2 linked regions of the Danio rerio genome follow. The protein of the gene in region 1 purifies or fractionates together with the protein of each later gene. This does not show direct contact. Links are inferred from orthologs where the notes say so. Each region holds a gene or a part of one and is shown on either strand. Other genes may lie near its edges.

Region 1 (4,694 bases):
CACACACACACACACACACAGAAACACACAGACACACACACAGACATGCACGCACAAACGCACGAACACACACACACATACAGAGACACACACACACTCACGCACACATACACATACAGAGACACACACGCACGCACACACACACAGAAACACAGACACGCACGCACACACGCACGCACACACACAAACACGCACGCACACACACACGCACACAAACACGCATGCATGCACGCACACATACACACAGACAGACACACACAAACACGCGCACACACACACACACACAACACACACACACACACACACACGCACGCACACACACACACGCACGCACACACACACACACAACACACACACACACACACACACACGCACGCACACACACACACACAGAAACACACACACATGATTCACTAATGTCTTTTTTTTCTTCTGTTTTCCTTTTAAATCTGCTTCATCAAGTTTAATGATGTTTATTCTGTTGTTCTGATCTACACGTGTATTTGATCTTCTTTTTCTTGTAAAGCACTTTGAGTCAGTCATGTGTGTGTGTGAAACCTGCAGCAGAAATAACCTCGCCTGCTTAATTGAATATTCTGTCCAGTTCAAGTTGTCAAACTCATTAAGTCCATGATAAAGCTGCATATGATGAGTGTCTGAATGAATATCAGCTGATTTCAGATCTGTACATGGCTTTATTTATCTTCTCTCCGTGTGTGTTTGCTCACCCGGTCTTGTCCCCGAAGTGCTGCTCCAGCTGGGCTCTGCTGAACCGGGTCAGATCTCCCATGTTCTCCACACTCAGAGTCTCCGTGATGGACGAGCCCAGCTTCCCTCCCAGATTACGACTGAGCACAACATACACATGTGGAAACACACGTGTTCATGAGGTACAGGCAGTGCTGGGTGTGCTTATCTAAAACCACTGACTATAATTAAATACTTATTCACTGAGAAATAAAGCGAGGCAGTACTGTTCAAGTCACTGAAGTCATTCGAAGAGGAATTTTACTGACATGATTAGCGATCACTTACATTTTGCTGATGGGAAGAGTGCTGAAGAGTTGAGGAACGGAGCTCAGCGGCAACACGGTTTGGCGATTGGGTTTGTTTAGTCCGCATGCCAGCTTGGCCAACACCTGAGAGACAAACCCAGAAACATTAGAGTTCAATGAAAACAAAAACCAACATACAGTTCATCAGTCTTCACATTTAAGATGGAGAGACTGATTATAACTGGGAATAAATGTAGTATAAACATGTCAAACAGCAGGCAGCGACGTCAACAAATCACTGTGGAGAATGAAGCAACAGATACTAGCCAACGGTTTCAACTTTAGCAGAATTTCTGTGTGTGTGTTTATGTGTGTGTGTTTTTGTGACATATCAGGACACAAATCTGTATAATGACATGGGTATGACACAGGTATTACAAAAAGCAGGTGAAATATGGGGACATTGGTGACGTCCTCATTACTCAAAAAGCTTATAAATCACACAGGATGAGTTTAATCAGAGAGTAAAGCTGCACACTGACTCCTGTGATGATTAGGGGTGGGGTGGGGTGAGGGCAATACAATATACGGTTTGAACAGTATAAAACAGTACAAAAACAAACGTGTGTGTGTGTGGCCAGTTTGTTGTGATTGTTTTTAACATATAGAGAATGCAATAAATTACTTTCATATTTCAAGGTGCAAAGTGTCAACTTATATTCTCAATACAAGTCAATTAATCTTAAAAAGTTGTAAAAATTCCTTAGTAATTAAAAGGATGACAAATGAGATAATGAAATTTGTAAATTACATATTTATCATGCAGGTGTGGATTGATGTTTGCATTTTAAACACACACACACACACACACACACACACACACACACACACATATACAGTTGAGGTCAGAATTATTAGCTCACCATTGCATTTTTTTTGTTTTTTAATATTTCCCAAATGATGTTTAACAGAGCAAGGAAATGTTCACAGTATGTCTGATAATATTTTTTCTTCTGCAGAAAGTTTTATTTGTTTCATTTCAGCTAGAGTAAAAGCATTTTTATTTTTTTAAACACCATTTTCAACTCAATATTATTATCCCCTGTAAGCTATATTTTTTCTAGATCGTCTACAGAACAAACCATCATTATACAATGACTTGCCTAGTTACCCTAATTACCCTAGTGAAGCCTTTACATGTCACTTTAAGCTGTATAGAAGTGTCTTGAAGAATATTTAGATGTCATGATGACAGTAAATAATATGAGACTAGATCTAACCATCTAGACTAACCATCGGCGCAATACCGCTCTTTGTTATGAGACGCAGTTTCAGTGTAAACTTAGTAAAGGCGAGCTTCTTTGGCGATGATATGAACAGTATTAGATTTGACTTTTAGCGGACATTTGCGCTGAACACGCAGTGAATGCAAAGCATGGAGATTCGGGCGCCTTCTCCAAGAAGCGCGTAATCGATTGATCTCAGCTAGCGGATCATTATTCACCACGTGACGTGTCATGATCGCTCTCATCTGCGCCTCAACTTTAGGTGGGGTTTGCAAACCTGTGTGCTTTAAGTTTTTACTCTTCAGCCGTTTGCATTTCCCGTGGTCATCAAGCTCCTTCCCTGTCATCTGACAGCGGAATACCTTGAGGGATTGACAGCTAATATGAACCAATATAGCGGCAGGGAAGAGCGATTCAGCACGTTTTTACAAAAAAATCAAAACAGGTCGCACTACAACCATTATCAGCAGTCGCACTAATGCGCCCAAATATACTATGAGGTCGCATAGATTAATTTTCGGGCGCATATGCGACCAAAATGGTCGCAATTTCGAGCCCTGTTATATATGCACACATATTTCAAAATGCTGCAAACAAATCCGAGTTTGCATGTTCATTTGCAATAATTACAACAACAAATACGCACATATAATTTGATATACAGTATATGTTCATATTGAGTCATGTATTAGATTTCTGTATGTATCAGACAATTAAAGGCCATAATTGCAATTATTTTAAACAGCTTGATACAATAAGGGAATCATGCTGGGTTTGGGTTTATATAGCTTATTTTGCGCTTCATGACCACGACTGAACACCCGCTAACTGTAAATGTAGAAAGAGACGTAGAAATTCTCTTATATCCACCTTGTTGTGTGAGATACCGGCGGAGCAGCGAAACCCGGTGTGTTCCTCCACAGCAGCCCTCATCTGCTCCACTATCAGAGCCCCGACGGCCAGACGCAGATCCGCAGGTGAAGATTCAGTGCTGGAGGACAGAAGATCCAGCCACTGCTGCAGACCTGCGGCCCGCTGCGCATCTGCACAAACACAACACACAGCGGTGGGAAGAGGATGAGGAAACAGCTCACTCAAGTAAAAGTACCATTACATTACACAGAAAACAAGATTTAAAGATTTTCCACTTGACTAGATCTTAATTAAGTCATTCAAACATCTCTTGAAGCCTCTCTATAGGTTTACTCCAGGGGTGTCCAATCTCGGTCCTGGAGGGCCGGTGTCCTGCAGATTTTAGCTCCAACTTGCCTCAACACACCTGCACGGATGTTTCTAGAAAGCCTAGTAAGAGCTAGCCCAGGTGTGTCTGATTGGGGTTGGAACTAAATTTCGCAGGACACCGGCCCTCCAGAACCGAGTCTGGACACCCCTGGTTTACTCTCTACTGGACAGTTGGTCTCGAGCATCCGCCATTTTTGTAGTTTGTTTACACTTTTCCCCTGAATTTGTAGTTCTAATTGAATTCACATGGAGGGTGGGGACGTAACGGTATCAAAATGACGGTATTTACAATAGCGTTACATCCCTAATGGTGGGCAATATTAGCAGTTAGAGTAGGGACATCTCTACACTTCACATTTCTACCAGAAATACTAGACCATCTGGACCCTTTGGCGAACTCTATATAGTGTACCAACAATAGTGAAGGGTAAAACTGACCCTGTGTTTACATTTTTGGGTGAACTGTCTCTTTAATACCAGGTGAGAACAGGGCTGACCTCTGTCCAGGTGTGTGTTCTCCTGCTGTGTAGGGAAACCCTGAATGTGTGTGTTCTTCAGCTGCTGCGCCGTGATGTCCTGCACACTGGTGTTCTTCAGGCGCTCCTGAACGCTGGCCGTCAGGTCCATATAGGCCTCGTCAATGCTGGCTCTCTCGATCACAGCGAAGCGGGACATCACCTCGATCACCTCCACACTCGCCTCCCTGTAGCTGAAACACACACACACGCGCACACAAACACAAGGTCCAAAAAATACTATGTTAGGGATACATATTAAATAGGGGTGGCACAGTGGTTAGCACTAAGGTCACTGGTTCGAGTCCCAGCTGGGTCAGTTGGAGTTTCTGTGTGGAGTTTGCATGTTCTCCAAGTGTTGGCGTGGGCTTCCTCTGGGTGCTCCGGTTTCCCCCACAGTCCAAACACTATAGGGGAACTGATGAATTAATGTGGCCATAGTGTATGAGTGTATGAGTGTGTGTGTGTGAGTGTGTTTGTGTGTGTGTGTTTGTGTGTTTGTGTGTGTTTGTTTGTGTTTGTTTGTGTTTGTGTTTGTGTGTGTGTGTGTGTGTGTGTGTGTGTGTGTGTGTGTGTGTGTGTGTGTGTGTGCGAATAAGTGTGTATAGGTGTTTCCAAGTGGGTTGCTGCTGGAAGGGCATGGGCTCCATAAACAA
Region 2 (5,293 bases), on another chromosome or scaffold:
TTAATAAAATAGAAAAATATATAATAACCAAATATAAATCAATTGTTGGAAAATTAGATAATAATATGAATTAGTAAATTATTATTATTAATAATAACAACAACAACAATAAAAAACAATTTAATAATAAGAACAACATATACACACACACACACACACACACACACACACACACACACACTTTTGTGAGGTAAAAAAATAAATAGATAAAAGGGGGCCCTTGGATTTGCTACAGCCCAATATGTTCTTAATCCGGCCCTGTCTCCAGCAGCAAAACACCATATTCATCAAAAGCTACTGGTCAGCCCACGATTCAGGAAACTTTTTTAAAAAAAATTCGCTTTTGCGCCAACATCCAAGCATGTTTTAGACCTGAACAGTGCAGCGGCTTACTCCAAGGGAAAAAAAAATCAAAATATCCCTTTTCAAGTTGTAAATGAATCTGTATTTTTGAAACTAATGAAAATAGCAGAAGTCCATGATTTATTTTAACTTTTTAGCCTGGCATGTTTACTTTAACGAAACATTTTAAATGTTTCTGAAAATAAAAAGTTGTGTTTAATGGAAAAAACAGTTGTTGTTGTTGTTGTTTTTACCCACACAATAAAAAAAATTAAGTCATAATACCGCAAAACTGCAATATTTTTATCAAAGGTTTTCATACTGTACAAATTATTCCACTCCACTCTCCTTTCACTCTGCCTACACACTGATAATTTCAGGGCTTAGGCCATTTAAAATCCAAATACACACGAAGAAGAAACCTAGAAAAACCCCAAATTGATTAACAGAAGAAGATTTAACTGCTTTCATCTTTCAACTTGACTAATAAACACATGATTGCTGAATCATCACACAGAAGGATTTAATTAACTTAAATACAGGGACACTGGAGCATTTTAAAGCCACAATTCATCAGCGGATCGCTCGTGTATCAGCTTATAGACAAACCAGCTGATCGACATGACTTTGAAACACTGCAGTGTCCCTGTATCTGTATTTACACTCAGTAAAGAGCGGTGAATTTGGTGAACTGATGACCTTCACTGCCAATGACAGTCCTATCTGTTAAGCACATGAACACAATGGCAAATCAGCTCTGTTTAAGAATGTGCTCGGTAGACAGGAAATGGAAGTTTTTAAAGCTTATCTATTGATTAGTAGCGAATTCCAGTATCATGACAACCCTAATTACATCTGATCTTTCAGATGTAGCACCATTTTCAACAATGGCCAATACCGCTTTATAAAATCAACTTCAATTTTGAACATGATTTTGCATAGTTTGTCAGAGCACTAGGATTCAGTGTAGCTGGTGCTGCTCCATTAAAGCATGTGTTAGAGAGTTTTACTAGAATCTGCTTTACTCACAAAATTCGCAAGAATATTGCCTTCATTTAAATTGCCCGACCTCAATCAGCAGGTATCAATACAATAGTCTTTATATATATATATATATATATATATATATATATATATATATATATATATATATATATATATATATATATATATATATATATATATATATATATAAAACAAGGACTGTAAAACAAAGCAATCATTTTCATATAAATTGTGGTGGTCACTTTCCTCTTTCCACACAAAAAATGACTGACAGACTAGCAGTGAGGGGTGTGTGTAGTACAAATAGTGGAGATATGTAAAATGGACAAGGTCCTATTGATGTTTTCAGCATGTATGCAATCTGTGTGTATTATATAGTGCAGATGTATTACATGCACAAGCTACTTCGTACACTAAAATACAGTAACAATTTTATACTGTTTTACAGTAGTCTATCAGACTTTTTATTTAGGAAACAGCACTGAAAGCAACAGCCAATTATTATTTGCATTCAATCTGCTTAAATTATAATAAACAATTTACAAGCATAGACCTAAATACAAATGAATTACTTTTTATTCACATTTATATTTTCTCAGGAATTTGGTGCAGAGATATGATAATCAGAATAACTCTCCACAGTCTTCTCTGCATAACTACAAATATTATAAATATTTGTTTAAGCTACAAACGTAGTTTACTAGTGCATTCATTTTCTAAGCTTACTTGAAACGTTTACCCTGCAACAGACCCTAAAGCATATGCAAATTAAAAATAAAGTTTTACAGTAACTATTTTACTGCAGCTGCACAATTATTATACGTTATGTACTTTGTAATAATTATATTGTGAAGCCTTAAGGATCATCATGTCCTAGTGTGCACTTAGAATCAGAGGACACATTTCATAACTTTCCCAAAAGCTCCTAAAGTGTAAGAAAATAACAAATAGAAGTAGAAACCCAGGGACTACAATATGTGTCTTGGCTCCTAGAATATATATATATATATATATATATATATATATATATATATATATATATATATATATATATATATATATATATATATATATTCAAAATTCCAAACTCTATTAATAAACACTCATTTAAACAACAAATACAAGCTTTACCTTGCCGTCTGGAAGCTCTGAACTAAGTCGTCTAATAATCTGTTGTTCCTGAGGTCTTGTTCTGTTGATGGCTGCAAGCAGAGTTAAAGATTAATGAAACTGTTTTATAAAAATCATTATTTAAAAAAACTTAATTAAACTACTGTGATAACAGCAAAGTTTTCGATATGAAATGAATGCATCAGCTTTTTACCAGTGCCATGTTAAGCCCTGACTTCACATTTTACACTAAACTTGTAAAGTATTCGACAAGAAAATTATGTATTATTATTGAATTATTTTGACATGACACTTACCGAGTTACACACAGGACACAACAGCTTATAGGAGAGAAACTTCCGAATGCACAGAGAACAAACTGTTGGAAAAAGCAAAAAGAAATATGGTCAATTGCATATTGCTCATGGGTAGATAAATAAATAAACCCTCATAACGTTACATGTTATAAACTGTGTGTAACCGTTTTATACGTACAGTTGTGTGAACACTGGGTCATCATGGAGATGTTGAGAAACTCAAAGCAGATGGGACATCGGAGGAGAGTATCCATAGGCTGATACACACAAAAATATACAAGATCTGATGCGATTTCACGATTTATACTATCTGAACAGCGTTACCGCTGGAAATACGTAATGTTATGACAGATTCTTACTGATGTAACGTTACACAAACATGCAAAGTAGTTAATTCCGATCAATGTCAGTAAATTAACAGCCATAAACACAATAGTCAAATACATCGTGAATAGACTTGTTGTGCTTTATCAAGAACGGAACAGTTATCTTAAGTTATATGCTTGTGACCCACTGGTGTACTGGTAGCATAAATTCATATTTTTATCTAACGTTAAATAAAAGTAGAAAAACTGAACGTACTTTGAGACATGACAGGTTCGGCGGTAAGTCCACTTCATTTAGCTGAGCCATTCTCAACAAACTCCTCTGCTGTTTTTAGTGTTATTTGGATAATATTGGGACGCTAATAAACACTAGCTCCCTAGATAGCAACAATAAACTCCCGCGCGCTCCACTGAACACTTCCTACAACAGCGTCACTTCCGGTTAAATCGTAAACATTTACCCATTTATCAAAAATTCCGATTAGGGGTTCGCTTTTATTGTGCTGCTTCTGTTTTATACACTTAGTTTTAATAATGCTTTAGTAATAATTCGATATATATGTTCTTAGTTAATTAAGTTCAAACTGAAAAGTTTTTATTATATGATGATGAGAAGCATTTTCTTGTTAATCTAACTGAAATGAGATAAAAGAAGCATACTTTACAAGGATAGTTTACTCCAAAAATGACCTTATAATTTTTTCTCCCTTGGTGTAAAAGTTTTAAACCTTTACATGTTTTACACGTTTCTTGCTTCTGTAGAACACAAAATAAGATATTTTGAAGAATGCTGGTTTCTAGGACCCATTTACTTCCATTTAGATTTTCTTTTCAGCTTAGTCCCTTTATTAATCTTGGGTCGCCACGGGGGAATGAACCGCCCATTTACTTCCATAGTAGGAAAAATACTGTAGAAGCATGCACGTGGCCAGCCTGGTAAAAAGGTGGTTCTTTTTCCTCAAAAAGTGTATCGGTTTGCAATTATATGCCTCATTTTCTCAGTTTAAATATGTAATTCAAAATACTGCTTTTTAGTGCCATTTTAAGCACTATTCAGATTTAACTGGAAAAGGGTGGTCATCATAACTGCACCTTTTGACTATTTTAGCCAAATAATATTTAAATCTATTTATATTTTTTAAATATTTAAATTCTTTTTTTTTTTTTTTTGGTGCTTCACGTCTTTTCATTGGTCTTTTTTTCAAGAAGTACAAGAAGTATACTATTTAAAATAAAAGTCACTTGTAAAATGTGTCTAAAATACAGTAGTGAAAAATGACTTCTTTTTCATCAGATCATATGTTTTTTCGCACAGCTGGATGTTGTAGCTACTCATGAAAAATATTTGTTAGCATTGGCCCAAACTGATTACCTGAAGTCACACCGAAGCATCTTTACGCCGTTCGGCTTTGTCTGAAAGCATTTTTGATGGATTTTTTTTACCATAATTAGATTAGGTTCAACTTTATTACACATGTACAATTACAAAGCAATGAAATGCAGTTTAGGTCTAACCAGGATGGGGCAGATGTGCCTGCTGGAAAGCAGAACAGAAAACAATCTGTGAGCAAGGTGAGAGGAGTCCTTAGCGCAGACAGTGTTTCTTCTGGTGTCCTCAACGGCTGAAAGTTGGGACCCTGTGATGCGTTGGGCAAAGCAGCTTCTATACCAGACTGTGATACAGTTGTGGTCAGGTTGCTCTTTATTGCGCAGCGATAGAAGATCACCAAGACAGCTGATGACAGCTGGTTCTTCTTAAATTACCTTAAGAAAAAAAGGCGCTGGTGAGCCTTCTTGACCAGGCTGGAGGCGTTGGTGGTCCAGGACAGGTCCTTTGAAATGTGGGTCCCCAGGAACTTGAAGGATGAAACAGACTCAATGGCCATCCCATTGATGTGAATAGGATCATGTGACCCTACTTGTCCCTTCCTGAAGTCCACAAAGAGCTCCTTGGTCTTGCTGGTGTTGAGGAGCAAATTATTGTGTGTACACCAAGTGGCCAGTTGCTGTATTTCCTCCATGTAGACAGTTTCATCATTGTGGTTAATGAGACTGATCACTGTGGTGTCATCTGCAAACTTGATGATGGTGTTGGATTCATTTATGGGCCTGCGATCGTGGGTAAAAAAAGGGAGTAGAGGAAGAGGCTGTGGTATACCTGTGTTGAGATTGACGGTGGTGGAGAACATGTCT

The links. Proteins that work in one complex are often made in the same cells at the same time.
Region 2: the proteins of polh (region 1) and rad18 purify together in Homo sapiens (affinity purification with western blotting; 7 studies listed by BioGRID, with this or other methods). This does not show direct contact. The link is inferred for Danio rerio from reciprocal best matches to the Homo sapiens genes POLH and RAD18.

What each region holds. Positions count from the first base shown.
Region 1 is NC_133188.1:718,386-723,079, forward strand, and holds part of polh (DNA polymerase eta), read right to left. Parts: intron 4,233-4,694; coding exon 4,021-4,232; intron 3,325-4,020; coding exon 3,152-3,324; intron 1,140-3,151; coding exon 1,036-1,139; intron 849-1,035; coding exon 729-848; exon of another isoform or gene 1-728. UniProt on the Homo sapiens protein: DNA polymerase specifically involved in the DNA repair by translesion synthesis (TLS). Due to low processivity on both damaged and normal DNA, cooperates with the heterotetrameric (REV3L, REV7, POLD2 and POLD3) POLZ complex for complete bypass of DNA lesions.
Region 2 is NC_133181.1:44,354,458-44,359,750, reverse strand, and holds the start of rad18 (E3 ubiquitin-protein ligase RAD18), read right to left. Parts: upstream 3,541-5,293; 5' UTR 3,408-3,540; coding exon 3,357-3,407; intron 3,032-3,356; coding exon 2,953-3,031; intron 2,837-2,952; coding exon 2,775-2,836; intron 2,550-2,774; coding exon 2,479-2,549; intron 1-2,478. UniProt on the Homo sapiens protein: E3 ubiquitin-protein ligase involved in postreplication repair of UV-damaged DNA. Postreplication repair functions in gap-filling of a daughter strand on replication of damaged DNA.